4 linked regions of the Notamacropus eugenii genome follow. The protein of the gene in region 2 purifies or fractionates together with the protein of the main gene of each other region. This does not show direct contact. Links are inferred from orthologs where the notes say so. Each region holds a gene or a part of one and is shown on either strand. Other genes may lie near its edges.

What was found.
Region 1: the proteins of TNFAIP3 (region 2) and RNF11 purify together in Homo sapiens (affinity purification with western blotting; 3 studies listed by BioGRID and IntAct, with this or other methods). This does not show direct contact. The link is inferred for Notamacropus eugenii from reciprocal best matches to the Homo sapiens genes TNFAIP3 and RNF11.
Region 3: the proteins of TNFAIP3 (region 2) and TNIP2 purify together in Homo sapiens (affinity purification with western blotting; 5 studies listed by BioGRID and IntAct, with this or other methods). This does not show direct contact. The link is inferred for Notamacropus eugenii from reciprocal best matches to the Homo sapiens genes TNFAIP3 and TNIP2.
Region 4: the proteins of TNFAIP3 (region 2) and MTOR purify together in Homo sapiens (affinity purification with western blotting, with the first as the bait; 3 studies listed by BioGRID). This does not show direct contact. The link is inferred for Notamacropus eugenii from reciprocal best matches to the Homo sapiens genes TNFAIP3 and MTOR.

The regions. Positions count from the first base shown.
Region 1 is NC_092873.1:511,485,315-511,493,140, forward strand, and holds the start of RNF11 (RING finger protein 11), read left to right. Parts: upstream 1-4,567; 5' UTR 4,568-4,886; coding exon 4,887-5,009; intron 5,010-7,826. UniProt on the Homo sapiens protein: Essential component of a ubiquitin-editing protein complex, comprising also TNFAIP3, ITCH and TAX1BP1, that ensures the transient nature of inflammatory signaling pathways. Promotes the association of TNFAIP3 to RIPK1 after TNF stimulation.
Region 2 is NC_092873.1:224,323,901-224,332,304, reverse strand, and holds the start of TNFAIP3 (tumor necrosis factor alpha-induced protein 3), read right to left. Parts: upstream 3,645-8,404; 5' UTR 3,338-3,644; coding exon 3,263-3,337; intron 3,196-3,262; exon of another isoform or gene 2,717-3,195; intron 2,265-2,716; exon of another isoform or gene 1,925-2,264; coding exon of another isoform or gene 1,892-1,924; intron 1-1,891. UniProt on the Homo sapiens protein: Ubiquitin-editing enzyme that contains both ubiquitin ligase and deubiquitinase activities.
Region 3 is NC_092877.1:52,608,832-52,616,544, forward strand, and holds the start of TNIP2 (TNFAIP3-interacting protein 2), read right to left. Parts: upstream 3,126-7,713; 5' UTR 1,700-3,125; coding exon 1,292-1,699; intron 1,183-1,291; exon of another isoform or gene 746-1,182; intron 1-745. UniProt on the Homo sapiens protein: Inhibits NF-kappa-B activation by blocking the interaction of RIPK1 with its downstream effector NEMO/IKBKG.
Region 4 is NC_092876.1:50,533,220-50,540,939, reverse strand, and holds the start of MTOR (serine/threonine-protein kinase mTOR), read left to right. Parts: upstream 1-4,163; 5' UTR 4,164-4,266; intron 4,267-7,720. Other genes in the region: UBIAD1 (ubiA prenyltransferase domain-containing protein 1), read right to left, coding at 905-1,439. UniProt on the Homo sapiens protein: Serine/threonine protein kinase which is a central regulator of cellular metabolism, growth and survival in response to hormones, growth factors, nutrients, energy and stress signals.

The sequences.
Region 1 (7,826 bases), about 290 Mb from region 2:
TTAGACTTAAGGAAGTGATTAAGAAAATTTTAATAATTCCAATTAAACTTAAAATATTCCTTGGGGGGGGGGGTGTTTATTCAATATTTACCAACACAACCCTAACTGCAGAACTGGAGAAGGCATATACTTACTTGGTTTTACAAAGGGATTCTGCAAACTATACTACTTCAATTCCTGAGAAAATTCTAGAAGACATAGTAAACAAGTAGACCACAAAGAGCCAACCTAGCTTCATCAAGAATAGGTCATACCAGACTAATCTTATTTCCTTTTTTGATAGGATTACCAAACTGGAATGTGGCATCCCTTAGTTTATAGCTGCCCCTCTCTCCCTATGTCCTTCTGAACATCTGGGCTTCAGTCTAGAGAGCAAGGGAGGAGGTGGTCACAGGAAATGAATGATACAGCTCTGGCAGGGGAGTACCATGCTGAAGGTCAGGGAGGAAGACATTAGAACATATAGTGGACAGCTTTTTCTTTTTCTTTTTTTTCTTTTTTTTTTTTTTGTTGGGGCAAACTATTGGGTCTGCCTATACTGCTCTACCAGTCATGAGTGAGTTGGAGCCAAAGGAGGTTCTAGATCACTGAGCAGTACAGAAAAACCCAGACCAAAAAAACTGTTTGTTCTCAAGTCCAATCAGACTATGAGTTTGTTCCCCATTGCTCCAGTATTTCTTTACCTGCCTTCTTCACCACCATCTTCACCAGTCCTACTTGATGCATGAATATCCTACAATGAATTTTGAGTTATGACGTATTGTTTGTACTTCTTTGGTCACTCAATGGAGGATTCAAATTGTGTATTTTTTAGAACTTCAGATAGAGCCCGTGTCTGGGGGGCTTCCAGGTACTAGAAGAGCAACAGAACTTGCAGCTACTTATTAGATGTTTTTATGCATTGTTCTCTTGTTATCATGCATTGATTACTTGTTTATTGACTCCATGTTGAGTAAAAATGCTGTTTAGAGTGTCCAAGCATATGTGTCTGTTTTTTGTAGAGAGAAAGGATTCTAAAATACCCTGAAAGGCTCAAGAGGTCATCAGATTGAACTGAAAAACATGAAATTTAATAGTGAAAAATGCAAAGTTTTCCACTTAAGTTAAAAAAAATCAACTTTACCAGTACAAAACATGACATTCAGGGCCAGGTCTTACTCACGTCAATCTAGTGGCCCAGGATCAGGCCTCAAATAAAATGAGACACTTGTGGACCACATAACCTCTAATAAAAGTTTACTCAACAGTATCATGGAAAGGCTACTCAACAGTGATACACTGTTGGTTCAGTTGACTGCAGTTCACCTTGGCACTCCCCTTGCCCCTGCACTCCTCCCAATTCACCAAGGGGACACAATCAGAAGAATTGTTTTGACTTGTATGGAGGTGGAAGTTAGCTAAGACTGAGGAACCTAATTACTTACAGGCTGAGATTTTATGCCTTAGGAGGCCTGGAAGTTTGATTGGTTGTTCAAACCCTAATTCCCTGGACCAGTCATGTTTCCAAGGTGGTCTTTTTAAAGAAGTTTAGGACATACATGAATTTCTAGCTATGCAAAAGTGTTTATTGATATGGTTCCTGAACACATGAGTAACAGACATTGCTATACATAACTAGACGCAGTTCATCCAAAAAGAATATGGGGAGTTGAATGGAATGCAAACAACATATATGCAGCGACAACAGTATGATATGGTAGGAAAAAATGACCAGGGCAGGAATTCCAGGCCAAAGGGAAGACTGCATTTCTGTCCTTCTGAAACAGCAGAACTTTCCAGCTGGCTGATTATTAGATGAATTCAACAGCAGTCTACTGACACTCCAAACAGGGCAAGCTCACAAACATGCTGGTCAGATACAAACCCAGGTCAGGAACTTGCAGGGCTCAGATCAGGGAGCCAGTTATCAGATTTTGCTCTGGATCACTATGCCCTCCCACATTAAGTGCAGTGAAAGCTTGTGGGTCCCCAACTTGAGCTGTCCAGAGATTCTGAATAACACAACACTGAACACCACAAGAAAACAACAGCAGGACCAGCCTGGACATTCCCTCCAGACGTATACAGAGTCCAACACTAACATAAAGGTTGAAGTCAAGATGCAGGCTGGAGGAACGGGCAAACAAACAAACAAATAAAAAACAATACCATTACAAAAAGCTGTTACGGCGATAGGGACAATCAAGACATAAATACAGAAGAGATTTATTCCAAAACATGTACAAGAAAAGCCACGAAGAAAAACACAGTTTTGGCATAAATTTAAACTAGACTTCTAGGAAGAGAAAAAGAAAGAGCTTAAAAATATTTTCTTCCTAGATAAAATGAAAGTTCTAGAGAAAAAGATAGGGCAGTGGGGAAAGAGCCATAAAAGAAAGAATTGGAAGAGATACAAAACCTTGACCAAGCCTGAAAAAAAAAATTCTTTAAAATCAGAATGGACCAGAAGAGACCAATAACTCCATTAGACAATAAAAAATATTAAAATAGAGTCAAAAGGTTGAAAGGATAAAAGATAAAGGTATTTCATAGCAGAAACAACAGAAAAGCTGATTGAGTCAAGAAATTTAAGAATGATTGAACTACCTGAATATCATGATCAAAAAAAAGGGGGGTGGAAGCTAGAGATAATTTTTCAAGAAGTCATCAAACAGCCCAGATCAGGACCAGGGGGCAAAGTAGAAGCAGCCTCTATTCCTTCCTGAAAGAAACCTCAAAATGAAAATTCCCAGGTACATTATAGCCAAAATCCAGGGCTTTCCAGATTAAAAAAAAATACTACAAGCGTCCAAAAAGAAAGAATTCAAGTACAGAGGAAGCCACAGTCAGAATGACACATGATTAGCAGCCACCCCTAGAAAGGAGGGAAGAGCTTGGGATATGGCCAGCAGACAGAGGATAGAGATGAAAAATGAAAAATAACTTACGCAGTAAAATGGAGCATGATACGGATCTTTACTGAATGGAGGACTTCTAAGCTTTCTTGATCAAAAGACCAGAGCTAAGTAGAACCTTTGAAAGCCAAACGCAGGAGTCAGGAGAAACGTTAGAAGGTAAAGCCAAGGGACTAAACAAGGGTAAACATGGAGAGGTGTTAGCTGGGTCCCACCTCACCCTCTTGTCCTCAAGGCTAATTAGACACAAGGTCTAGGAGTATTCCTCTCACAGAGTCTTCATGATCTTCCAAGCAGGACAGAGAGAGGAAGAAAAATACACTGAGGAAGACAGAGGAGATCCAGAAAAATAACCTCACATAATCGGACGGGCAAGAAGTCCATCAATCAATATTTAGTAAGCACCTGCTGTGTGCTAAAGAGTCACAGGATGTTGCTGAGCTCCAGGAGCTTACAAGGAACACGCAAACAACAAAAGGCAGAAATCGCTTTCTGCAGAACAGGCGGGGAAGGCGTCGAAAGGCAGCGGGGCCGGGGACGGCGGGCGGCCAGCCGGGAAGGACGAGCACGTTCTGGGGCCGGGGAAGGCGGACGACGCCCGGAGCCCGGGAAGGACAAGCACGTGCTGGGGCCGGGGAAGGCGGGCGGCCAGCCGGGAAGGACGAGCACGTGCTGGGGCCGGGGAAGGCGGGCGGCCAGCCGGGAAGGACGAGCACGTGCTGGGGCCGGGGAAGGCGGACGTCGCCCGGAGCCCGGGAAGGACGAGCACGTGCTGGGGCCGGGGAAGGCGGACGACGCCCGGAGCCGGGAAGGACGAGCACGTGCTGGGGCCGGGGAAGGCGGACGTCGCCCGGAGCCCGGGAAGGACGAGCACGTGCTGGGGCCGGGGAAGGCGGACGACGCCCGGAGCCCAGGCTGAGGCCCGGGAGCCTGCGGGCTGGGCGTCCGGCCTTGGTGGTGCATTTGGGCTTCGTTCGATTCCTTTGGGGGACGGTGGATTATTGCCATGGTCCCTGCCGCTTTGGATCACCCGGGCACCTTATGTCTAAGTATTCGTCTGTGTCTTTGATAAGTTTTATTAAGATGTCATTAAATAAAATGGTTTTGGATCAGTTTATTTCATTTGTCCATTTTTAATACAATTTGCATTTCTTTTCTCTTTTGAAAATAGGAATAGTGAAGTGCGAAGAGAAAAAAGAGAAGGGTAAGACAGAGGGAGGGAGGAGACAGGGAGGGAGGACCCTTGGGAAGAGGGAGCCAGCGCAGCAGCGTCTCGAGACGCGGGAGGCGGGGCGCGAGGGAGGGGGCCCGCGGGGCGGGGTGCGAGGGGCGGGGCCTGAGCACGCACAGCGCGGTGACGCCACGACGCCGGGCGGGCCCGCTGCACGCCGCGTCGCGCCGGGCCTCGTTGTGGCGGCCGGCGCTGAGGGGGCGGCGGTCGCTCGGCTGTGGTGGCGCCTCGCCTCGCCCGGTCTTGCGTGGGTCGGCTAGGATGCGGGCCTGGCCGGCGGCGCCGGTCCCCGCCGTGTCCGCGGTGTCCGTGTCGGCGGCCCCGGGCCCCCTCCGGCCTCGGCCGGCCCGGCCCTGAGCCGCCGCCCTCGCGGGGGGCGGGGCCCCGGGGCAGCCGCGGCCGCTCCGGCCCCTCCCCCGCCCCCAGCGCCGCCCGAGCCCGAGCCCGGCCTCCCTGCCAGGCCGCCGCCGCGGGGCCCAGCCCGAGCCCGGAGCCCGGAACCCCGAGCCGCCGCCCGGGGCCGCCCAGGGGGATGAGCCGCCGCAGTCGGCCAGCCTGAGCCGGGCCGGAGCAGCGAGAGCGGTCCCCGGGAACGAGGCAGCGGAGCCCCGGAACCCCCCCCCTCCCCGCCAGCCCCCCCTCGGCGACAGCCGCCGACCCTCTCCCTCGAGTGACCCCCCCCGCCGGCTCCCCCAGGGGCCCTCCCCCAGCCCTCCGCCCCCTTGCACCCCCTCCCCCGTCCTCGCACGCACTCCCGGAAGATGGGGAACTGCCTCAAGTCCCCCACCTCGGATGACATCTCCCTGCTCCACGAGTCTCAGTCGGACCCGGCCAGCTTTGGGGAGGGCACGGAGCCGGATCAGGAGCCGCCGCCGCCATATCAGGTAGGGGAGGGGGCCCGGCGGGGGGCGGGGGGCGGGCCCGAGGGGCAGAGAGAACGTCCTGGAGCCCCCACCACACCCCCTTTGGAGGCCAGCCTGGTTGTGCGGAAGCACTTTGAAAAAACCCGCCCCGGCTCGGCCTGCCTTGGTCCCCGGGGAGGGGGCGCCTCCCGCAGAACCCCCACCTCCCCTGTGCTCCAGGAGGGCGCCCCGGGCTCGAGGGGCCTCGGGTAGCCCAACCCTGCCCCAAACCATGTCAGCACTGGCCAGGCACAGCACTTTGGGGAGAGGGGGGCCGCCTTGTGATGGGGGATCCCTGCCTTGGAACCGGAGGGGCTCAGTTCTTGTGGCCCGACTCGGGGCCTCCTTTGTTGATTCATGTGGTGACATCACTGTCTGGGGCTGTTCTTTTCTCCTGACTGGGTTAAGTCGGTGGCCTTCTCACACCGGAAGGACCAGGCAGGCAGGAGGTGGTGAAGCTTTGCGTGTTTGGCATTACGTTTACCGACGCTGCCCGGGCATCCTTGGCAGAGAAGGCAGGACTTGGAGAGGCTCAAGCTGAGGCCCAAACGTGCGCCTCCTCCCTGGGCACGGTGGGCGAAGCAGAGGAGGCCCGTGTTGGCTCCCGGTCTGTTTTTGAGGTAGACCCCCCAGAGTGCTGGATATTCCTGATGTCTTAGTAGCCGAGGGCTTAGAGGTGACTTCTTTGTTAAGGAAAATGAAGACCCTGGGTGAAATGCCCCATGATTTCCACTCAGTAGGAATCCCAAAGCCAGGGAGGCTTGCATTGGACCGTGAGACCCTCCCTTGAAATTCTGCCTGGTGTTGGCAGTGGCACCTTCTTTCGCTTTTGACCTTCCTCGCAGCAGGAAAGAATTAATTAACAGACGTTTATTAAGGCCCGGCTGTGTTGGAGGACAGAGGCAGTACAGTCCGAGGATCGTAGCTTTGGAGTTAGCAGGGATGGTCAAGGCCATCAGGTCCAGTCTCTCCAGGGTCACATACATTAAACGTCTGCGGTGAAATTTGAGCCCAACTTTTTTTGACCCAGACCATTGCTGTGTCGGCTACTACACCATTCTCTAAAGGAACTTAAATCCTAAAGAACCAATGGATCCTAAGAACCTGCCTCCAAGAAATGGATAGTCACCTATTGAGAATTTGTTGTTAACTGAAAGACTTTGATATAATTTCAAAAAGAGGACTGGACTGTTTCTTTTAGAGAAAAAAACTATATTAACATATATATTACGCATCTTACCACACTTATCTTTCAGCACCCTGTGATGCAAGGAATCCCTATGTTATCCCCATTTTACATTTGAGACAACTGAGGCTCACAGAGATTTAGTGGTTTGCCTATGCTTGTCACATTCCTAGGAAGTGTTGAAGCCCAGGACTTACCACTGTCAGCCATGTTTTTGTGTTGTTTTTCCTAAAAGGATAAGAAATTTGCTCAGATTCATTATTCCAGGTGATTTAAATATTCATCTTCATGATGATTCTTTTCCTTTGTTAATGTAATACAAAGTAGCTTTGTCTTTTTTTTTTTAAGAAATGGTAGATAATTAACACAAAACTACAGGAAATTTTTAATTTAGGCTTGCCATGTCTTAAGGAATGAGTGATAAATGAAGTAGGAATTATTTTATGTCAGGGAGTAGCTAAGTATGTAGAGGCAAACTTGGTATTACACCATACGGATTAGGTTAGGATGTGGCCTTTAAGTTTTGTTTCTGTTACACAATATACATGTACACCAAGTCCTCTGTAGAATAAACTTACTAAAATTTACCTTGTTACTTCCATTAAACTCATTGAGGCAAAACATAATTTTGATACATTTATTATTTGTTGTATATACAACCTAAAATAAGCTTATGCCTTTTTTAAAAGTTTGCTGTATAGACAGTCTTTAAAATCAGTAAATATTATGGGGTCATAAATTTAGAACTGGAAAGGGATAGGAGAGGTTATCTAGTTCAACTTCTTTATTTGATAGAATGAGCAGCTTAGGCCCAGAGATGATTGACTTGCCCTATTTTACACAAGTAGTTAAGTGGTGGAGCCAGTATTTGAACCCAGACCTTCTGACTTCCAAATCCATCTGGCATTCTAACCCCTTGCCATTTGAAGAAGAATGTAGTTGTATATCTTGTAAGAACTGTTTCTATTTACAATTCTGTTTTTGTTTTACGTTATTAATCTTTTATGGAAACCAACCTAAAGATCACATCTCAATTGTATTCTCATGTATTTTCCCAAGATTTGAATGCTTTTGGTTATATAATTGCATTCACTGTATTTTAGGCCCTTTTTTCTAAGATTCCGTATGGACAATTTTACTCTGAAATTTAAACCTATAACTGTCCCATCCCCTCTCCCTTTCCTCAAGACACCATGCATTTGTTTGACATTTATTTAAACACTGTATAGTGAATAAGAAACTCCTCTCTTTTAGGACCTTGCACAGTCTAGTAGGGTGAGAGTGGACATTTAAATAGAGATTCTGTTTCATTTCATATTTTAGTCATGGTAGAGATCTAAAGTGCAATGAGATCAGTTGAAGGAAGAAAGCATTTCCAGGAAGGTTTGTTGCACCCAGTCACCCGGATGAGAGCTTGGTAATGAATATTTATCAAGGAATGAGTGGTGCTCGGAGCATTTGCATGAGCACATTTACAATCTGCCCATTTGCGGTTTTGCAACATTACAATAATTTAAAATTTACTAAAAATTTCTCTGCCTATTTTGTGTTCATGTAAGATTGTGGCAGACAGATATACATTAGAAATAGAAATTCTCTTTTGTTTTTGCTAC
Region 2 (8,404 bases):
TCAATAATGCTTCAGAAGGTCCCCAGGATCCCTCAGGTGACACACTGGTCTATAAGAATTAAGCAACTGTAATAGTTAGAATTGGAGTTCAATTATTATTCATCTCCAAATCAATAAAAGCTGGTACTCCAGATGCCAACTACTGGCTCTCTTTTTCACCCCCCAGGGGCCTTCACACCTAATCAAACAGTACAGGAAAATGAGGGCCATGAAGAGGAAATGGAAAGAGCAAAACATAAGAAATATGGAGAAGCAGGGAGGCCAGCAGAGATTATCTTCTAGCTAGGGTGATTTTAGGTTCTAGCTACCAAACCCATTTTGGCTAACGAGTCATAGTGGTGCAAGCACCAGGTGTTTTCATTGCTTCCTTTTCCTATCATCACATATTACTAAAAAAAAAAAAAAAAAAAAGACAATGAAAATCCCCAAACATTTCCCAATTATCCCGGTATTTCCCCAGGTAGTCTCAAAGTATCTCCCTTTCTTTATATGACTCCTGAACCTTCAAGGTGACAAAGATATGCATCAAGAATGAGTTGGCTCTGGTACTGTATCAAGAAAGCCTTTTCACAGCACTCTTCCAAGGCTGAAAGCTAACCTACCTTCCAAGGCAAATATACATATATCTTAGGGATGCTGAGATCCTTGCTTGCTACTTTGGCCTATCATAATGCATAAGGTATTAAGTAATGTAGACATCTGCTACCCTATAGGATTTCAAATTATGGTGATCACTATGAACCCTGACACTTCTTTCATTATTATTATTATAAAAAATGTAAAAGGTTTTTCTCTAGTGGAATTTTTTTCAATGACTTCAATTTCAATTTGACATTGCTATATGTGATTTCAGGTGAATAATTTTTCCTTCCCTCAGCCAAATGTTAAAGTGTTTTTCTCTCTCGATAGCAGGGAGACTGAAGGCTGCAAGTGTGGTCTTTCAAAATGTCCTTGATTTCTCCATCAGAAACATGTTTATAAAACTCTAACCTTCGAGGGAAATAAGATGGGCAGCACTAAATCCCTTGGAGAGAGGAGGTCTTGGCTTGCATCCTGGCAAATCACTTGCACTATTTGGATCTTAACTTCATCTATAAAAAAGGAAGACTTAACACTTACATGACCTCCCTGACAGAATGGCTCTGAGTGAAATGTTTTGTAAATCTTAGATCACTTAAAAATGGGTCACCATAAAAAGGCCTTTAAAGAGTCCTGAAAACATGTGAAGAATGAATCACCCTTTTATTCACTGCTTCTTCTAGTCCCAGAGGTCTTCCTTAAATTGTGAGAGCCAAAATACATCCACACAAACCCATCTTAACATCAATATTCGAGAACATGAACCAACTCAACCATTTACCGCAGTCCTTCATCCTCCAAAAACTACCCACTGAAACAAACAAAAATACCCCCTTCCAAATTTCCAGTTCTTAGACCTCACTCCAGATGGGGCCACGGAGTAAACATTTCTAAAAACAGATGGTTATACACTTGTAGAAGACAAGAAAATAGTCTTATGAATATGTAAAAAAAAAAAGGTGATGTTTTGTAATATTTCTTTGACTCATTTCACAAAAATTTCCCCAAATTCTGTCACTGGGAACTACAAAATTCTTTAGAAGTTATTCATATCTAGAAGCCTCCTCTTTTTTCCTTTTGGTTTTTCTTTTTCTTTTTCCATTTTGCACAGGTGCTTTGGCATGCGAGATGGAAATCTGTGAACTGTATCAACGAAAACCCCAATTCCATTCTGGAAAGCACTCCTCCAAAGCCTTAAATTCCCCAAACTGCTGGAGGCAAGGTCCGGTGCATTAGACTAGAATATCTGCATCACTGACTGGCCCACAACCTGGTCTTTGGATCCTTTAGAGCAGCCAGCACGACGCCTTACCCTTAGCACGGGTTCAACAATTGCTTCATACATGCAGCACTGTGCCTCAGTTTCCCCCAAAGCAATCACTCTTTTCTTTCCTTCCAGTGTTAAAGATCTGTGTCATCATCTCTTAAATCTTTCCCTGTTCATGTCTCAAGACTTCAGGGCTTCCATCGAGGGGAAGGACAGCCAGCTTCTGAAGCCCTTTATCAGCCTGGTTTCCCTAGGAGAAGAGAGCTGCAGGCAGCGGGCTCCGGCCTCAGGCCAGTCCTTCATGCCCCGGCCGTCCTGAAGAGGCCAGGTGGCAGGATGTGGGACAAGCCAGCCCGGCGAAGCTGGCTGACCAGGGCTGGGGGGGGCAGGGCTTTCAGCGTCTGCGGAGCTTTAGAAAGCCAAGAAGCCGACCCCGTCCGCCAAGGCCCCGGGGAGGCGCGGCCCGGGGAGGCGCGGCCCGGGGGCGCGCCGCAGCGTCCTCCGCCTCTGCGCTCTGCACCGCGGGGAATGCCGCGTTCTCCGCGCTCTCCGTGGCCCTGGGCGGACAAGGTGGAATCCCCCTGCGTGACTTCTAATTGCTAGCTTCTAAAGTCGGCGCTTCCACGACTCTAGCTAACGTTCCGTCCCTTTGCAGCTAAAGGTCTCCGCACGATCTCTAATTCATCTTAAAGGCGCAGCCCTTCGGGGGGATCCGGAGGCGCCCCCCGCCCCGGCCTGCCCTCCTCCCCTCCCCGCCCCATCACCACCACAAGCTGCAAGCCAGGGGTCAAGGTCCGTGCCACCCTCGTGCGGCCGGATCGCGCCCACTCCCCTGCAAGGTTTGGGGGCGCAGAGGTAGGTCGGGGTTACCTTGGCGAAGCAGCAGCGAGCGAGCTCCCAACGAAACGCCAAAGTCCCGAATATTTAGTGCACGAGCAGGCCCGGGGCCGACGTGAAGGTCGTAGCGGCGGGGCGCTCCATGGGCAGGCAGGCAGGCAGGCAGCCTGGGGCTCGGCTGCGCTAAGTCCGGCCGGGCCGGCCTCCGGCCGCCTCCACTGCCGTCACCGCTCCCGGACTAGGACTCTCCTCCTCCGCCGCCGGCCTGCTCTCCCAGCTGCTCCACCCCCGCCGGCTCCTAGCCTAGATCCTAGATCCTAGAGCCTAGATCCTAGAACGACTGCGCCAGTTCTCCTTTTTCCTTTCTTTTAGCCAGGGTAATAATATATGAGCCCGGGGATTTCCAGCCTGGGCGCTGGGACTTTCCGACATGTGACTGTGACGCCCAGCGGCGGCTCTCTGCAGAGCACTCGGACCGGGGCGGGCGCGGGTGCAAAGGGCTCTGCCCCGGGCAGGCCGCGCACCGCCGGCCACCAGGGGGCTCCCGCAGGGGCCCGGGGGGCCCGAAAAATTCCTCACCCTTTCAAAGCCGGGGTTGTCCCCGCGTGACTCAACCTGGGCATTTCGGAAGCGCCGGCCGGACGTCATGTCCATGTGGAAATCGCGGTGATGGGAATGAAGACGGTTCTTTTTTTTTCGCCGTCGTTTTTCTTCAAAAAATAAAAACAAAAATCACCTACTTTGGAGAAGAACAAAAAAGCGGAGGGAGGGGGAAACGTGGAAAGAAAGGCCTCGGTTCCGCCCCCGCCGATGACTGCCTCCCCGGGGGCGTCCGGGGGCCGCTTGCTCGGGAAGGGCCCTCGGTGCTCGAGGGAGTTGTCCAGGAATCCCGGGCGGGGGCAGGGGGTGTCACGGTGCCTTCGCCTCCTCCGTCCGGGCTCCCCAGCCATCGGTGCCCCGTAGCCACACCCCCCAGGAGGCAGACCCGGGCCGAGATGCGGAGCTCTCCCGGATTTCAGCCCCACGGGGGGATTGGGACGTGCTGGACCGCAGCACCCCCTTCTCCCTGCTCCTCACCGAAGCCCCAGCCCGTGATTCTGCATCGTCACCAAGGTGCCTCATTGGGACCCCCCACCCACCTCCACCCAAAAGTACCCCGTTCTCTCAAACCTTTTTCTGACCTCCAAGGAGTCCTGTGTCAGCTTCCTTAGAAAACCCCCAGCTGGTGACTGATAAATTTATTGGCGATAGTGACAGGGACTGTGATATGACTGATGCAGGGAACTGCCGAAAGAGGAAACTCCATCCACCGAGGCAGGTTGGCACCTTCTCTGACAGCTGTCATCTCAGAGAGTGGCCAAGAGCCTTGAGTGACTTGCCCAAGGTCCAGCCCAAAGACTGGATTAGATCCTGGCTTTTTCTAGTAAAAAACCACCACCACCACCATCATCACCACCATCACCACCACCACCACCATCACCATCATCCCCACCATCATCATCACCACCATCACCACCACCACCACCACCACCATCATCCCCACCATCATCACCACCACTACTACCACCATCATCACCACCACTACTACCACCACCACCGCCATCATCATCATCATCATCACCACCACCACCACCACCACCACCATCATCCCCACCATCATCACCACCACTACTACCACCACCACCACCATCATCATCACCACCACCATCATTATCATCACCACCACCATCACCACCACCACCACCACCACCATCATCATCACCACCACCATCACCATCATCACCACCATCACCACCATCATCACCGCCACCACCATCATCATCATCATCATCCTTATAGGTAGGATAGTTCAGAAGCTAAAATCTATAGGTTTTAAATCCTGCCTAAGGCATGTATTGAATGTGACCCAGGTCAAGTCATTTAACCTGGAAGGCAAAGTTGAAGAGAAGGTATTACCTGCATTGGCAAAGGGAGTTCTCTGTATCAATGGAATCAGAGATTCAGTATCTATCACAATTATTATTACTGGTAGTAGTGGCCAGAATAATAGCCTATGTGTATGGAAAGGGCACAAAACACTTTCAAGCATTGTCAATCAATCAAAATGTATTGTTTTTTACTGAAAAAGCTATCAAGATTTATTCTCATAGTGAGAATCACTGATGGAGGCGTCTGTTGGACATTTTTATGCTAAAAACTTTTCTCCCAGGCATTGGCATTCAAATATATGCCATTTATTGTGCAATGCTCACGTTTAAAGTATGTCAACCCACATCACTTATTGAGTATTGATAATGTGCATAATGCTGGAATATACTTATGGTCTGTACCATCTACTTTGGTACATAATTATACATGATAGTAAATCATTAGCTGTGTTATGAGTTGGACTTATTTCTCCCAAATGATTGTAAATTCCTTGAGAAAATGAGATTAGATGGTTTCTAAGATCCCTCAAAGTTCTCAATCTATGTCAGTCAATATTTATTAAACAGCTCCTATGTACCAAGCATTATGTTAAGCACTGGAGATGCAAAAAAAGGCAAAAGATGGTCCCTGCTTTCCAGGAGCTTATAATCTAATGGAGGATGCAACATGTAAGCAAATATATACAAAGCTATATGCAAGGTAAATAGGAAATAATTAAGAAATGGAAGCCACTAGAATTTAGAGGCATTGGGAGAGACTTCCTGTAAAAATGGGATTTCAGTTGGGACTTAAAGGAAATCAGGGAAATCAGTGGGTGGAGTTGAAGAGAGAGAGCATCCCAGACATGGATGACAGCCAGAGAAAATACTCCAGCCAAGAGATGAGGGGTCTTGTCTGTGGAACAGCCAGGAGGCCAGTGTCACTGAATCAAAGTATACCTGGTGGGGGGAGTAAGGTGGAAGAAGACTGAAATGGTAGAAAACATTGAGTTTATGAAGGGTTTTGAATGCCCAGAACATTTTGATTTTGATCTCGGAGGTGATAGGGAGCTAATGATATTTATAGAGTAGGGGAGTGTCTTGGTTGCACCTACTCTTTAGGAAAATCACTTTGGTGACTGAAAAGAGGATGGATTGGAGTGGAGAGAGATTTGAGGCAGATAGACCCACCAGCAGGCAGGCCATTGCATAATCCAGGCATGAAGGGATGATGGCCTCCATTAGAGTGGTAGCAGTATCAGAAAGAGGCATATACCACTGGTACTACAAAGTCAAAATCCATAGACTTTGTTAACAGATTGGTTACAGGGAGGGAGAGATAGTGAGGAGTCCATGATAACTTCTAGGTTGGGAGCCTGAGGGACTAGGAAGATTGTGTTGCTCTCTATAGTAATAGGGAAGGTGAGAGAGGGGGACGGTTTAAGGGGAAAGATAATGATTTCTGTTTTGGACATTTTAGCTTAAAATGTATACAGGACATCTAGTTTGAAATGTCTGAAAGGCATTTGGATATGGGAAACTGGAGGCCAGCTGAGGGTTTGGGACAGGATAGGTAGATTTGAGAATCATCCTCATCATCAAGACAGCAATTAAATCCACTGGAGCTGGTGAGATCATCAAGTATAGTAGTGTAGAGGGAGAAGAGAAGAGGCCCGAGACAGAACCTGGAGGAACACCTCAGGCACACCTTAGAAGTCATGATCTGGATGCGGATTCAGCAAAGGAGACTGAGAAGGAGCAGTCAGATAGGCTGAAGGAGAACCAGGAGAGACCAGTGTTCTAAAAACCTCGAGAAAAGAGAAATTAAGATGGAGAAAGTCATCAACATTTTCAAAGGCTGCAGAGAGATCAAGGAGATTGAGGACTGGAAAAGGCCACTAGATTTGGCAGTGGATTGGTAATTTTGCAGAGAGCAGTTTAAGTGGAATGATAAGGTCAGAAACTGAATTGTAAGCAGGTAAGAAGAGTAGGGAAGGAAAGTGGTTAGATAGAGGGGATGGTCAAGGGTTGTTGTTGTTTTTGAGGATGCAAGAGAAGTGGGCATATTTGTAGGCCATAGGGAATGAGCCTATAGACAGGGAGAGATTAAAAATAACTGATAGAGTGGGGATGACTGTCGGAGGAGATAGGAAGCAATGGGATTGATTAAACAGGCAAAAAGGGTTACCTTTAGTAAGAAGTAAGGCCATCTCATCATGTGAGACAGAAGCGCAGGAGTAGATAGTGGCAGAAGCCATTTGAATGACAAAATGGCCTCAGTTTTTTTTTCTGTAAAATATGATATCGGGAACTTAGCTGAGAAGTTGGGGGAAGTCCAACCTAGGGGTGGTTTGAGAGAGTAGGATAGTGAATCAATAAGGGAAGTATAGTAGGATTGCCTAGCAGTGGTGAGGGCTTATTTCAGGTTGTATAATATAAATTTGTAGTGAACCCAATCATAATAGTTGAGTGATTTTTCCTTCTTTCTTTGCTCAATTGCACATATATAGGAGTGAAGACATTGAATGGTGAGAGTGATCCAAGACTAAAGCTTGGCAGGGGAGTAAGCCTAGGGTCTGGAGATACCAGCTATCAGGATTTTGATTGGGTTCTAGAAATGAATAGCACGAATCTCAAAGGGAAAAGAAGGATGGAGCTAGGAAGAGATCTTGGAAGTGGCAAAGGGGAGCAAGTAGTATTCTAATTCCCCTGACTTGGTCAATGATCCAAGGAGAATGAGCAAAGGTGTAGCCAATACTGGAATGAACTCATGAGGTGTAGGCTGCCTGAATGTAGGAATACCTGGTTTCAGATGCTACCTCTGATACTTACTGTCTGACCATGGGTAAGTCACCTTGCTTCTTATAGCTTCAGTTTCCTCACTTGTAAAATGTGGTTAAGGAACATCAGTTCCACCTCACAGACTTAGGATGAGGGTCAAATGAGATAATGTATGTAAAGTGCTTTGCAAACCTTAAAGCCACATATGGGTACCTTATTTTTTATCTTTATAATTGTCCCCATTTTACAGAAACAGACTCAGGTGTAGTAACTTGCTCCACTTCATCATCCCCCCCCTCCCAGGAATTATTGAGTTAATAATCTCCTTAATTTGTAATAACTACCAATTAACATTTTCATTTTAACTCCAATCCCTCTGCTGAATCTTGGAATTTGGGTGGTATGTGAGTTCTTTGGAGAGGAGAAGGTCTCAAATCATATGACAACGCTTCTCTGCATTTTGGCCCAACTCTGGTTCCTACTGCCTCAGTGGTTTCTGCTCACAAGGAGCCTGAAAGGTCTTCTAAATTAGAACTGTTTACTTTTGGAAGAGGAGACTCGAGGAAAACTGTAGTTAAGGGATGTGTTTAAGATAACCTGTGAATAGATGGAAATGGAGATAAGATTCAGCATTAAAACTCTCCCTTATCGATGATATTGCTGGTGTTTCTTCTCACTGTTGACTAGGTGAGTCTAACGAGGGAGAACGGTGACTGGATTTGGAATTAGAGGATAGGCTTGAATTTTGGCTTCCCTTCCTTCTGGGTCTCAGTTTCCTTCCCTGTAAAACGAGGAGGCTAAAAAAGAGAATCTCTAAAGTTCCTTTCAGTTCTAAATAATATGAAACCTATGAATTCTGAACTGGCCAAGAGCAAGGTATGTTTATCTTTATATCTTATCTTCTGGTACTCTATCTCAGGAACATTTTAAATTGCTTTGAAGTAAATGAGGGAGAGTTTGAAAGAGATCCTTGGACATGTTGACAAATGTTTGCATGTTGTCTTACCCAAGTAGCGGGTGAGCATCCTGAGTG
Region 3 (7,713 bases), on a different chromosome or scaffold from region 2:
AGGTAGAGGATAACCATCCAACAGGCAGCATAGCATCCTAGAATCTGCATCTTCAGTGGACACAACTGAGTCAGCTCTATGTACCTAGGTGCCTCTTCTGGGTTTCCCCATGCTATAAAAGAGGGGGTTGAACCAGACTAGATAAATCTCCAGGGTGCCTCCCAGCTAAAACATTCATGGGCCTAAAGTCCCTTTTAGAGCAGGGAGAAACCTTGGAGCTTATCTAGTCTGGTCCTACCCTGTCACTTAACAGATGGGGAAACCCAAGACAAGCACACAGGCAACACAGCAACACAGGTTAGGAACTGAATTTACTAGAGGAGAGGCTTCCACCAGTAAAGGGCTGAAACGTAAAAGGTGTGTCAAGATCTTTCTACTACTGATATACACTCCAAATTCCAGTGTTAATAAGCTTTTACTGTTTCAATGCAATCAGGATTTTTTTTTTCTGGAAAAGAGGAGAGGAAAACACCTAGTCATAGGAATGTAGATTTGTTGTTGGAAGATACTTAAAGGTCAACAAGTCTAACCTACTCATGTTACAAATGAGGAAACTAAGGCACCAAGAAGTTAAGTGACTTGTCCAGGTCACACAGTTAGTAGGCCACCTACGGGGCAACAGGGGCACCCGCTGATAGCAAAGCGTGCCAAGTGGTCTGGGAATCTGCCGCTAAACTTATTAACAGATGACATCAATGAGCTTCTCTGGCCTTAGCTCAGTGCCTGGCACAAAGTCCATGTCGAATAAATGCTTGTTGATTGATCGGGCTTCAGTTTCCTCCCCTATAAAATGCCGGTGTTGAACTACATGACCTACCTACAGGGTTCCTTGCACCTCTGCCCGTCTAGCTCTTGAAGGCAGCAAAGACCGTCCAGCGAAAACCTAAACAGGAATCCCCTCCACAAAGTCCCCTAAAGCAGAACACCTCTACCAGTGGGGAGCTCTCCACCTACCCAACTTCAGTGGTTTCTTCCACTTTAGGACCGTTTGGACTGGTCCTACAGAACCACAGAATGTCAAAGGGCATCCAGTCCAACCCTGTGTGAGCAGGAATCCCTTCCCCGGCGTTCTTAACAAGTATATCAGCGTCTTCTTGAACACCTCCAGTGATGGAGAGCTCACCGCATTAGGAGGCAGCCCACCTTGTCAATCAATGGGCAGCTCTAACTGTTCCGCATCAAGTGAGTCAAGGCGCTCAGCCGCCCGGGGAAAGGCGGACAGAGTTTGGGACGGGGAGGGTGGGGACCAGAGGGGTGGGGGAGGGGAAGTTAGGGGAGGGAGCCTCCTTACCTGCCCCAGTCCTTCCTCCCGGGCGCGAGCGCTGGTCTCCTGCTCGCGGAGCTGCTCCTTGAGGTGGGCCACCTGCTCCACCAGCCCGTCCACAAGGGACGGCGCGGGCCCGGGCCCCAGGGCGGGCCCGGAGCTCTCGTAAGCGGCCAGACTAGCCCGTAGGCGTGCCACCAGGGCGTCTCGGGAGGCCAGCTGGCCCCGCAGGAAGCTCAGCTGCTGCACCGCCTCGTGGTAGAGGCCGCAGAGCGCGGCTGCACGCGGAGCCTGCTCCCGGAGCCTCCGGTTCTCGCGCTGCAGCCGCTCCACCGCCTCCTCCGGTTTCTCGGCCGGGGGCCCCGCCCCGCCGCTGGGCCCGGGCCGGGAGTCCTTCGCGCTGGCCCCGGAATCTTCTGTGCTTACGGATGACATGGCGGCGGGGAGCCGGCCTGAGCTAGGAGCCCAGGAGAGGCCCCGGCCCCGGAGTCCACTGGAAGTCAAGAGGCGGCTCCGGGCTGACAGTCCCTGCAGGAGGCCGGGCTCGGGCTCAGCTGTGGGTCCGCAATCCCGGCAGCAGGCCAAGCGGACGCTCCGGGATGAGGGTCCTTGCAAGAGGCCAGGGAGGGGCTGTGGGACGGCAGTCTGTGCAGGAGGCCCGGCTCGGGCTCCCCAGGAGGCTCGGCGGTGAGAGATCTTGCAGGGAGCCCGGCTCAGGCTCGGCGGAAGGCGAAGGGGCTCCGAGACCAGGAGCCGCGGAGCCCAAGGAGGGGCTGCGGTCTCGGGGTCCGGGCTGGGAGCTGGGGCAGCGTCCGCTGGAGGTTCCAAAGGGCGCTCCCGGGGCTAAAGGCCTTCGGGGGGCTCCCGGCAGAAGGGGGGAGCTGAAAAGGTGGGTTTGGGGTGAGATGGGAGCCCCGCTGCCCTGGAGCTGTGGCCAGCGACGGGAGCTCCAGGGGGGCTCAGAGGAGGGGCGGGGGCTCTGGACCTCAAGATGCTTTTAAGCGGCGTCTAGGAAGTCGGGGCTAGACCTAGGCAAGCCCGAGGGGTGGAGGCTGGGGAGGGCCCAGGCCGCGCGGGGCGGGGAGAGCACACGCCAACGGGAATTTCCTGCTGGGGCTCTCCCCGAGCATTCCCGGGGACTTTTCCTCCTGCACCCGATTCTGGCCTACCCTAGGCCGTTTTTCCGGGGCAGGGACCAGGGCAGTAGGGTGCTTGCTTAGGCCGGTGCAGTCTGGTCCTGCGCAGGCACTGGATGGAGGGAGAGCGCGGCCGGGGCAGCTGTCCCGGGTAGCTGCGCTTGCCCCGAGTCTGAGTCTCTGCTTCCACCAGTCCAGGAACCTCTGAGGGCTGGGGCCCAGCGCTTCCCTAGGTCTCCCAACTCTGCCTCCTAACATTTGCAACTGGAAGGCCCTTGGAGATCAGCTAGGCCATTGTAGAAGAAACAGAAACTCAAAGTAGGGGAAGTGACCTGCCCAAAGTCACACAACCAGTAAGTAAGTAAATTCAGACCCAGATCGTTTGACTACAAATCCAAAGTGCTCTTTTCACCAAACCAAAGGATTTCTTATCACTTTGAAAGACAGGATCTGTTAGGAGTGGTATGAGCCAGGGTAATACCTGGTTTTCAGTTCCAGGTAACTTACCCTCTCTAAAAAGGTCTAGGATTCCATGAGGTGATGGACTCAGAATGCAGATGGACATGGCCAAGGGGGGAATATGTTTTGCTTGACTATACATGTTTGCAACAGGGAATTTTGCTTTTCATGCTGGTGGGGAAAGGGAATGGAATGTGGGAGAGAGAGAAAATGGATCTCTGAGAAAAAATTTAACTAAAAAATAAAAGATCTATGATTCTATAAAGTAAAAACAGTAGTACTGGATTTGGATCAGGACCTGACTTCGGATCAGAGGACCTGAGTTCTAGGACCACCTTGGACAAGTCACTTTTGACCTTAGTCAAGAATCTTTCCATTTCTGGGTCTTAGTTCCCTCATCTGTAAAAGGAGAAGATTGGGCAAAGAAGTAATGATCATGCTAGACTTCTGCCCTGATTAGACCACATCTAGAATATTCCACTCAGTCCTAGGGGGTCACATTTGAGGAAGGAAATTCATCATCCAGAAAGCTCCAGAAGTAAACAGACAGGATGGTGACAAGCTTCAAACCCATACCATCATAGGATCCACTGAAACTGGGAATGTTTTACCTAGAAGTGAAGAGATTCAGAGAAGACATGATTACTGTCTTCATGTATCTGAAGACATATTGTTTTGAAGAGAGACTATGCTTCACTCAGGGTTTGAAGTCAAGTGTTTATTAAGCACCTCCTAAATTACAGGCAGGGCTGCTAGGTGGCACAGTAGATAGAGTGCCAAGCCTGGAGTCAGGGCCAAGGCCCCAAGTTCAAATCTGACCTCAGAAACTTACTAGCTGTGTGACTGTGGGCAAGTCAGTTAGCCCTGTTTGCCTCAGTTGCCTCATCTGTAAAATGAGCTGGAGAAGAAAATGGCAAACCACTCTACTTATAAACAATCTTTGTAAAAAAAAAAAAACCCAACACCCAAATGGGGTCACAAGGAATTGCACATGGCTGAAAATGATTAAACAACAACACATGACTGAACAACAACACTGTGGAAAGTACTGCAGATACAAAGATGCAAAAGATAGTCCTTGCCCTCCAAAAGCTCATGAGAGCTTTTGAGACAATCTAATGAGACAATGAGACAACATGCAAGTAACTGTGTACCAAAAAAAAAGGACAGTATAGGAGATAAATTAGAGATACTCAACAGAATAGTTTAAGTAGCATTAAGGAGGATGGGGAAAGGCTTCTTATAGAAGGTAAGAATTTAGCTAAGACTTGGAAGCAGCCAGAGAAGATGGAGAGTATTCCAGGTCCAGAGGACAGCCAGTAAAAATGAAGAAGTTGGGAAATAAAAAGTCATGAATCCTCTTTTTGTGTTCCACTCTGTGTGCACATAGAAACGCCCTGGAGGGATGGGGTGTTCAAATTCATAATTAAAAAATACATATAAAAAGAAGAGTGATTAGCCTTGTACAGCCTGGCTCTAGAGGGTGAAACTTGGAGCCATGAGTGAAAGTTGAAAAGAAGTCAATTTAGGCTGGATGGGAGGACAAACTTCCTAACAGTAATTTACAGTAATGTAATTACTGTAATGAAAAAGTGGAATAGGTTGCTTCCAGAGGAAGAGTGCCTCCTTTCACTAGAGATTATTAATTAAAACTCTTAGAGAAGGGACCCTTATTCAAGTAATGGTTAGATTAGATGGCTTGAGATTCCTTCCAATACTCTGCAGTTCCTTCAAGATCTAAGTGCCTTTATTCAATGAATATTCAAGAAAGTCAAATCTATGTATATGCTAGTAGGCAAATGAATGATAGAAGAGAAAACTACCAGAGTTCAGAAGAGAGACTTCCTTTCCGCTTTCCACATTTCCTTCCTCCACAGGTCTCAGAGCCTTCTATAGTCTTGCATCAGTTTGGGGAGTTTTTGTGTTGTTGTTGTTCTTTGTTTTGAATTTGTGAGAGTGCCCCTTGTGGCAATTCCCATGAAAAAGCCAGGAAATCATAGACTAGATGGGACCTTAGGGATTCTCTAGGTCTACCCTCCTCGTTTTACAGGGGAATACCCAAATAAGGTTACAAAGCTAAGTCAGGGACAGTCCTCGTGTCCTAGTTCCCAGACCAATGTCCATTTAAAATCATTAAAAAATAACCTTATCTCTACTCCTCTCTTTGTTTCAGTTTTGCAGGTGTGTCTTATCTCCCCCAAGTAGATAGATACCTATAAGCTCCTAGAAAGCAGGATTGTATCTTAATGTATTACTTCATTCGGTCGTACAGGGCTATGTACCTAGAAGCTGTTCTGCAAATAAGTGTTGGGTTTATCCTTATGTGAAAAATAACCAGTTGTCAAAATGGATAGGGATCTGAAATTAAAAGATTACACTGTAAAAAAAATTAGAAGAGAAAGATCAGGTATTTTCCCAGGGGAAATATTCTTAATCAAAGGATAAGGGTCATCCCAAAAGGCAATTTTGATTACATAAAATTGAAAGGCTTTGACATAAAATCAATGCAATGATGATAAGACCAGAAAAATTAAATTAGGAAAAAAATTTGCATCAGATATCTCTGATACCTAAGATATATAGTGAATTAGCGCAAATAAAACTTACGAGTCATTCCCTAATGTGTAAGTGGCTAAAAGATATGAATAAACAATTCTCCAAAGAACTGAATACTACAGTATGAAAGATTTGTCCTGAATACTAATAAAGACTGATAACACTAATAAGAAAAACACAAATCAACACAACTCTGAAGTGTAGCCATATATCCAGTAAAGATGAAAAAAGGTGGTGCAACACCTGTTCTACTAGGATTCCTCACCAAGGCTTCGGATAACTGACGTTTGTCTTTAAGAGCCAAATGAAATGGCAGGTGGAGAGGTAGCAGCTGGGGCTGGCCATTTGGTATTACGCTTGCAACTGTTACTCTTTTCTGCCTCAAATTGACCAACCTCATTCAGGGTTCGCCCCTCAGTCTGCTATTTGACTTTTCTCACTCTCTTAATCTTAGTTTGAGCTCTAGAATAATCCAGAATTATCTGTATATTTTCTTATTCAATAATAAAATTACAGTCTCTTAGCTAGAGTTTTTAAACTTAGCTATTTTAAAAATAAATGTTTGCTGATATCCTTTTTTCCCTCCACATCACCAGAATTCTTCTCAATATCTTTATCCTTCCTACCTAACAGAGAGCCATTCCATAGAACAATATTTTCATTAAATGTTATTCAACAGACTGGAGAAACCTCCTTTTCCAACAGTAATTACTCATCTCTATATTAAATCCTTTAATGTTCTTTGATTAAATATTAACATTCCTGAGCATATAATTTTTAAACAAATTAAATCAGTAATAAAAGCAAAGTCACAATTATTTACAATACTTTAGCTGTTTGAAAGATCACAGCCAGACCCACCTCTAACCTTTAATGACACATGAAGTTTATTTACGAAAACCCAATGCCACTATTCAGTTCACTCATGTTATCAACTTATATCTCAAGAATCTTCACATTTCTCCTCAAGATAAGAGTTAAATTCAATCAGGAATTTAGTCATCTTGCTTTCTCCTCTAAGCAGACATCATAGGTAAATCTCTCCAGAATGTACTATAAATCATCAATTCCTCACAATGTCTTCACAGAAATATCTTCTAATGATCAAAAAAATGACAGTTTTGTTTTGTCCAGTTCCTGACACTGAATATAATCAGTGTGAATTTAGTGATTCTTACCAGAAAAGTTTTCTGTCTTCTCCATATTTTGTCTTATAGAGTCTCATAGATCAAACACATGCGCACACACACACTTGCCCTTCATAGAAAAACCTCAAAGAATGACAGTTGCAATTGTAAAACTAAATGACTATTCCCAAATACTTCCCTTCTCTTCCCACCCCATTCTAAAAGATACAGGGACTACTTCTATTATCTCTACAGGAGAGCCTAGTGAAACAGATGTTTCAATGGAAACAGCCAATGTTGAAAGGCCTGTGGAAATACGGGCAAACTGATGGTACCATATAGAAGCTGTGAGTTGGTGCCCCTGTTCTGGAGAGCAATTTGGGATCATGCTGAAAAAGTGGCAATGATGTTCATACTCTTTGACCCAAAGATCTCAGTGCTAAGCATATACCCTAAAGAATTCAAAGAAAAAATGATGAAATAGACTGGCATGATGTATACCAAAATATTCATAGGAATAGTATGGGAGGGGGAGGAGCCCAAAAAAAGACTAGAAGCAGAGGTGATATCCATCTACTGGGGAAAGATTAAACATGTTGTGGCTCATGAATGTAATGGGACATTAAAACATTCTAAAAATGATAAATATGAAGAACCCCAAGAAGCATAGGAAGACATTAGTGATGCAAAGGTGATGCAAAGACAAAGATCAATAAAAGCATTAAAAAAAAAGAAAGAAAAACCAGCTATACCAGTATGACTAGGCAACAGAGGATAGGAAGTACCCAGTCCATACTGACTGGCTGTCTTAAAGGTTTATTTGAGCTCCTTTTAGATCCCCCTTTGCCCTACTTCCTATTTTAAATTCCATCATGGCACTCAGCCCCGTGCTGTCTTTTTCCCTTAGTACATGTTGAGTTACAGGGCTTTGGGACCTTCATATGCTTCAGCCCAGGGAACCTTCCCCTGGAAAATTTCCCATGCGTGGGAGCACTTATAGACAACCCTGGAGGGCTTTCCCCCAGGATACTAGGGCCTGTCCGCTGAATCATCCTTCTGTGAGGTGGCCTCTAACCCTGTTTCTGCCAGCTTTCCCTGCCGACTTCCCCCCATTCAGTCCCCTAAGCTTTCCCACAAAGATCACAGCTATGGTAAGATAGGGGACTCTTCT
Region 4 (7,720 bases), on a different chromosome or scaffold from region 2:
CCCCTATGAACAAGCAGACTTTCCAGAGTGATTTCACATAACTTAAGCTGGCTGTCCCACCACCCCACAACACATATCCTTCCATTCCAACCTAAGTGACCCTCTGGCTATTCCTCAAACTCCATTGTCACCTGCTTGCTTCTGGGCATTTGAAGAAGCCTCAGATGGGGAGCGTTTCACTTTTGTCTCTCCATCGCCAGAGCATGGCCCATAATAGGCACATACATAACTGCTGAACTGAACTGAAAATCAAAGCCAGTTCCCCTCATTAAAACAACAATCCCTAGAAATGATGACCAAAGGGAGAACAGCTTCTGGGGCCAGAGTCAGACTCCTAGAATGGTGGTTGGATGACTTTCTAAACTGACCTGGAGGTTAGGAAACAACATTAAGAACCCTAGTGAGCAGGAGGAGTCCCTTTAAGGGATGTCCACATAAGAGAAAAGAAAATGGTCCCAGTGGTGTGGAAGGTGGCAGCTACCCCTCCAAATCACTAACTGCTGTCAGGAGGCTTAGGCATACTCTGATCCAAGCTCCTCACTTTACACAAAGGAAACCTCTGGACTGTGTTAAAGAAATGACTGACCCAAGGTCCCCAGCACATAGGAATGGGTGCCAAGGCCAGCCTGGGGATGGGCAGTGACTGGTCTGAGATATCAAGCCCTCTCTAGGGAGCACGGGTAAGCTAGATTCCCGGTGATTTCTAGGGAGCTGAGTAGGGCCAAGGCAACCCCGAACCTCCTGGGGAGCACAGCCAGGCCTGCTCCAGAGCACCCTGGGGAGCACAGCCAGGCCCAGACCCCCTGGGGAGCACAGCCAGGCCTGCTCCAGAGCACCCTGGGGAGCACAGCCAGACCTGGCCTCTCAGACCCCCTGGGGAACACCAGGCCGGCCAGGGTCTCACCTCCGGTGTAGAGGAAGGAGCTGGACAGGCCCCCAAAGAAGATGAGCGCCAGGTGCTCGAGCTTGAGCGCCGACAGGCAGTAGAGGCAGGCGGCGCACACGCAGCCCAGCGTGTAGAGGAAGACGCCGAAGCGCACCACGTCCTGCGGCTCCAGGATGCGGTCCACCAGCGTGCGGTCGTCGCTCTTCTTGTGATCGATGCCCTTGGAGAAGTCGTAGTAGGTGTTGACCAGGTTGCCGGCCCCGTGCACGGCCAGCACGGCCACGGCGCTGCCCAGCAGCAGGCCCGGCTGCAGCGCGCCCTGGGAGCGGTAGGCCAGCGCGCTGCCCAGCGCCACGGGGGTCAGCGAGGCGCTGAAGCTCCAGGGCCGCAGCGCCAGCACGTACGAGGCGCACTTGTGGCGCCACGACCGCCGCGGCCCCGGCCCCGGCGCGGCCCCGCACGGGCAGCCATTCCCGGCCTTCTCCCCGGCACCTGCCGGGGGACCCTCGCCCGCCTGGATGTTGATCTCGCCCGGGCTCTGGGCCGCAGCCATGGAGAAGGCGAGGGTGGGCTGCGGGGCGGGGCTAATGGAGCACGTGGAGGGGCCGGGAAGAGCACGAGGAGTGGGCGGGGCTAACCTAGCGGCTGGAGGAGAGCTACAGGGGCAACGGGGGCGGGGCCAGCGGGGAGAGGGATATAGAGGGGGCGGGGCCAGAGGGGAGAGGGTATGGAGGGGGCGGGGCCAACGGGGAGAGGGATACAGAGGGGGCGGGGCCAGCAGGGAGAGGGGTACAGAGGGGCGGGGCCAGCGGGGAAAGGGGTACAGAGGGGGAGGGGCCGGCGGGGAGAGGCGTACAGAGGGGGAGGGGCCAGCGGGGAGAGGTTACCGAGGGGCGGGGCCAGCGGGGAGAGGGGTACCGAGGGGGCGGGGCCAGCAGGGAGAGGGGTACAGAGGGGCGGGTCCCGCTGCCTAGCAGAGCCGGGGGCAGGGAGGGGAGCGGACCTAGAGAAGGGAACGCGAAACCCACTGCTCCCACGAAGCGAGGCGGGGGCTTTTGGAGGGGCTCCCCGCTAGGTAGAGAAGGCTGGAACGTCGCCAAGCGGAAGAAGGGAGCGCCCGGGAAAGGAGGATACGGGAGGCGGGCAGCCGTCCCGCTGGAGGCCTGACCTCCTCTGCCCCACGGATGTCCGGTCTTCCTGTCACTCAGGCTCTGAGTCAGTGGCAGTGCTGGCGCCGGCCCGGATCTTTCAGCCAGTCCTAGGGGGCCGCCATGTTGTGCTCTGGCCTTTGTCGGCCGTGCGGAAACGGGCCCCCTGAGCACTTAGGGCCGGGGAAAGAAGAGCTCGCCTTGTCCCTCTACGCTGGGGGAGCTCTCCATCCCTGCTCCCTAGGACCGTTCATTCAGTTCCAGTGAAGGAACTTGTGTTAAGCTACTGTATGCGAAGCACTGGGAATACAAAAAGGAAAGGCCGCGATACAGTTTAACCTGTGTGACCTTGGTAACCACTGCACGTGTCACAGTGTTTACCGATGCTTCATTCATTCTTGTCAGTTTTTAATATTTGTACCTCCAGGGCCCAGCACAGGTGCTAAAGAAACGTTGCTGTTGTTTTTAAATGAAGACAGTCTCTTTGAGAGGGGAAATCACTTGCCCAGGATCACAGGGATGAAAGTTGAATTTCAGGTCTTTAACTGACCTTTAACTCCAAATCCATTCCTCTTTCCATTGCCTCCCTGAACCCCCAGAAAAAAAGATGGGCTGTCAAAAGAAAGAGTAGAGACCCTGTGGTCCTGTCTGCAGCTGAGTCACAGCCTTTCTGGGTGACCAAAGATGAGATACAATTCTTATCCTGCTTCACATGAATAGATTCCATTCGTCACTGGTTCTTGGTTCCTTTTTCCCCCTTTATTTTTTATGTATGCTTTCATTCAAAATAAGAGGCTTGATGGAATATCTCGAAACTCCTCCCACCTTCATATTCTGTGAAACAATGTGATCAAAAAATCTCTTAATTACTCTGTGCCAGGCACTATGCTAAATTTGTCTATTACAAATGGAAGAGGAGCTGGGGCAGAGAAATCAACAAGAAAACAAGCTTCATTGTATCCAGAAAGTGGTTGATCCCAGATGACCTTGGGAGTAGGAGAGAGGCAAGAGTCTCGATGAGGGGGCATGATTGCATTGGTGGGCTATGATCTGCACTGTTATGGGAAATATCCACATTAATAAGTTCACAGAAGCCAAAGGAAGACCGTGTGATACGCAGATTGTGTAAGGACGGGGATCCAAAGTAAGGGTAAGATCATCAACTTTAATTGGGCTTGATCAGGGAGGATGGGAGAACAGAGCTGTGCCTTTTGAAAAATCAGTACTACTTGGAAACAGTGTAATAACTCATTTATATACTGATTTCACAACCCTGGTGCAAGTCTTTTTATACCCATTCCGCAGATGCAGAGGCTAAGAGGCTAAGTAATGTGTTCCCCGAGTCCTACAAGTGCCAAGTGTCACAATCCAGATTCAAACCCAAGTCCAGCTCACACACACACCCATACCCCCACACAGTTTCCACTACTCCACGCTGCCACTCTAGGCAGAGAGCCAAGAGGGAGCATGAATGGGGAGTGCGTAGGGCAAGCAGCCAGACTCGGGGCAGGGTTTGTCCTGGAAACCAGCACACTTGAGCCCTCGCGCTGGAGTGCGTGACCTCGGGGACCTCGAGGATCTCTGCTGGGGTTTGGTAGGAAGGAAAAGGCCTGGGGCCCCGGGGATCATTTCCCAGGTAAAACTCCTGAATGCGACACGAAGGACGCCTGGGGAGGGGACGGGTCGAGAATGTGTAGCTTCGGCTCAAGTTCACGTGCGGATCCATGCAAAGGTCCATGCTGGGCACTATCACGAGTGGAGGGCGGGGCTCTGACCCAACTCTCCAGCTCTCTCGGCTGAGCCGATACGAGCGAGAACTGCCCGGCGATCGAGGGGGCTCATTTCAACGGAGCACGCACTGGAAGCCGGGTCGGAAGTGGCAAAGACGGCAAACTTGCTGCTGATTGGCCTGTGCCGGTGTTTCTCGGCCCGGTGCTCGCCTGTGACTGGATGTGCGGCTTGTCCATTTGAACGGCCCCCGCCTCCTTGGGGGGCCGAGTTCCAGAGCATCCCTCCTTCCCCTCTGCCATTGGTCGGTCTGCCCGCCCATCTCCTGCTCCGATGTGCCGGTTGGTCCTAGCGGCTCGGTGCCCCGCCCTTCCCCACCCGGCTCGGAGGGCAGCCGGGAGGGAAGGCGGGCGGTGCTGGGGGTGGGGGGTTCCGGAGCGGCGTCGGCGGCGCCTTGGGCAGCTGCACCGGCTGAAGGGAAGGCCGCAAGTAACGCAAGTCACGGTGAGTCTGGAGCCCGCCGCTCGCTTCCCTGGGCCGGGCAGGGGCTGGAACCCGGCCCCCCGCGTTGGAGGGAGGCCGCGGCTCCCCCGGGCGCCCTGGGCCCTGCAGACGTCCCCGGGGCTCGGAGCCGCCCCCAGACCCCGGCTCGGCCCGGCCTCCAGCCTCCGCCTGCGGCGCCTTCCCGGCCCCGGGGCCTCCTGGAAACCCCATCCCACTCTGTGCCCCCGGCCTAGCCAGAGCCTCCCCAGAAGCCCCCTGCCTCGGCGGGGTGCCCCCCGACGGTCACATGCCAGCCACAGCGCCCCTGGGTCCTTAGGGGCCCCCCAGAGTGCCCACCACCACCCTCACGCCCCCAGAAGCAGAGCCCCCTGTTACGCCACCAGAAGCTCCCCTACCTCTCCAGAGTGCCCGGGTGGGAAGCTTCTCCAATTCATCTGAGCTTCCTGGAGGTGCCCCCAGACTCCTCCCCAGAGTTCCCCCCAAAGGCTCCCCGCTTGCCCTGAGCTCAGCAGCCATCCCGTCTCATTCCTGCAGAGACCCGCCTCAACCCCACATGCCGTCAGCAAGACACCCCAGAAGCTCCCTGAAAGTCAGCACAAGACCCCCAGAAATCCCCCCAACACCACCAGTGTCATCCTGCACCCCCTCTAAACCCACTTCACTTCTATGCTGCCTGATTCAGAAGCGCTTGAAATGCCCCCGGATGTCATCACTCACAACTTTTCCTCCACCTTCTTAGACTCCTCAAAGGCTACCTTAATAGTCAGTAGTTACATAAACATTTATTAAGTACCTACTGTGTGCCAAGTGCTATGCCAGGCCCTGAGTATACAAATAGAACAAGAAAGAGGGTCCCTGCCTCCAGGAGTTTATAATCTTATGAGGGAAGACCACACGCAAAGGGAAGCTGAAAATGGGTGGAGGGATGCCCGGTGGGGGGACATGGTGGAGAAGCCCTGAGAAGTGCAGCCAAGTGAGCCATCAGGAGCCCCCTCCTTAAATGAAGATCTTGGCCCCATACTCAGTCCTAGAGGTGCCCCAGGCAAGGTGGAGAGGTCATTTGATTTGGGAGAAGTTCCAGGATAATGCAGCCAGGTGATTAATGAAGAGACTCAAGTCAATCACCTGCTCCTAGAAGATTTCTAGAGACCTTTCTAGACCTGTCACACATAACTTGTACCCGCAACACATATCTTGTACCCGCAGCCCCCCATTTCTGTAGACCACCCTAGGTATTCTTATCCAGCCCCAGCCTTTCCTGACTGTCCAATGACAAATTTGAACTGGATAAGCTCAAGAGGTTCCTTCTACTGCCAGTAAGGCCCAGACCCCTTTCCTGAGGAAGGTTCAGCTGGAGGAGACTTCAAATATTTGAAGGGCTGTGGTCTTGGGCTTCGCCCCTAAGGCAAAACCAGAAGTGGGTGGAAGGTACAGAGGATGACTCTCCACTAAATGTATGGGAAAACTTGCTCCTGAGCCCAGGTCCTAAGAAGGACTTCTATCCCTGGAGGATTTCAGGGGAGGCTGGATGTCTTATTTTCAGGAGCTGAAGTCTCAGCTCAGGCCCTGAGAGTCTATAAACATCATAGGTTATACTTCAGTAACACTTTGTAGAAATGTTTCTAGATTACCCATCTACTATAGAATGCTCAAAAAACAGATCTAAAGTAGGTTCCACCTTCTCAAGGAACCACATCAATTGATCACTTATACTGGAGAGCTGAGGATATTTTGCCTAGAGAAAAACAGACTTACTGTTTGTCACAGAGCAGAAAGATTAAACATGTTTTGTGTGACTTCAGAGTGGAGAGGCTGGGGCAGTGTGTCAATTATTAGCAGGTGAGTTATAGGCTCAGTCATGGTAAGAACTGATCAGAAAGCCGGCTGACCAGGAATTGGGTACTTCCTCAGGATATATCACTGTGAGATAGGTAGTACAAATAAGGATTATCCCCATTTCACAGATAAGAAAAAGTAATGTTCTAGGAGGTAAGTGACCACTTAAAGCCACCCAGCTGTTTTAACAATCAAAGACCTGAAATTTGGATTCTTCTCATTTCAAGTTGTGTTCTTCACCACACACTGTAAAGTAGTGAGTTCTCTGTCACCTGGGAGTATGTAAGCAGAGACTAGGTAACTAAATGTCAAGGATGTTGTACATGGAATTTGTGTTTCTCAGAATTCAGATTGGAAGGTATTATCAAGTCCAACACCCATGCTTGACCAGGAATCCCCTCCATAGCATATGCGATCCAAGAAGCATTTTGAGACAAACGGTCACCTAGCTTGGACTTGAAGACTAGTTATGTTAATTCTCCCTCCCTCCCCCTCCCCCAATTCTTCATGGCCTAGCTCCTCCCTGCCTTTTCAGACTTTATTTCATGTTACTCATATGCAGCCAGACTGGCTTCCTACCTTGTCTCTAGACTCATTCTGTTTCCTTTCACATGCTGTACTAGTATTTAGAATCCACCTCCTCCATACCTGCTCTAGGACTCCTTAGCTTAGTGTCCCTTTCCTCCCCAAATACCTGGTACATATTTACCCCCACCAGAATGTAAACGCCTCAAAAGCAGGAATTGTTTCATTTTTGCCTTCATCTCCCAAATGAACAGCACAGTGCCTTAGGTCGGGTGGGTACTTAACAAGTGTCTTGTTTAAATTGAATTAATAGCCTCTAATGAGAGGGAACCTACTCCCAAGACAGCAACTTAAGTCAGGCCTGCTGCACAGCCTGCAGTCCATGGGCACAGGCCTAGCTTAAGTAAAGGCTGGATGACCTCTGAGGCCCTTTCAGCTCAGAGTCTGCTTTGGTAATATTTATATAGCTTTACAGATAGAATTCTGTCTTCACCCTTCACAGACACCCTTTTCAAGTTCCACCTCTGTCTACTCTAGCTACTTCCCAAGGTCCTGAGCAAGCTCACCTGCCTCCCCACTGATCCCTTCTCTGGGCCATGGTGTAGCACACAGTGCCAACCCCCGAAAATAGCCTAATGAAGACTCCTGTCCTGTGAATGGGTCAGAGGTCCATAGATCTGTAGCTGGAAGGGGTCTGAGAGTCTACCAAGTCTGACCTCTTCGTTTTACAGGTGAAGAAACTGAGGCCAGAGAGGTGGTTAAATGACTTGCCCAAGGTCACACAGCTAGTTGGTGTTTCAGATGGGATTCCTGGTCTTCACTTCTCCGTGCTGCATGCTCCAGTCCACTCTGTGGTGGACGTTCCTTGTCATTTAGGAAGGCTAAGGAGCCTTGTTCTTGGGAATGTGCTCAGAGTAAGAGCACTGGTAGCTTCTCTACTAGTACCAAGCCCTTTTTGTATCTCACATTGCAGTTTTTAATTTGTCACAGCTTCCTTTCTTTTCCCTGCAAAGAAATGATATTGAGCTTGACTCCAGCCTTAGTCTGAAACTAAGATGCGTTCAACCTCTTAAATTCAGTCATTTGGAAATCT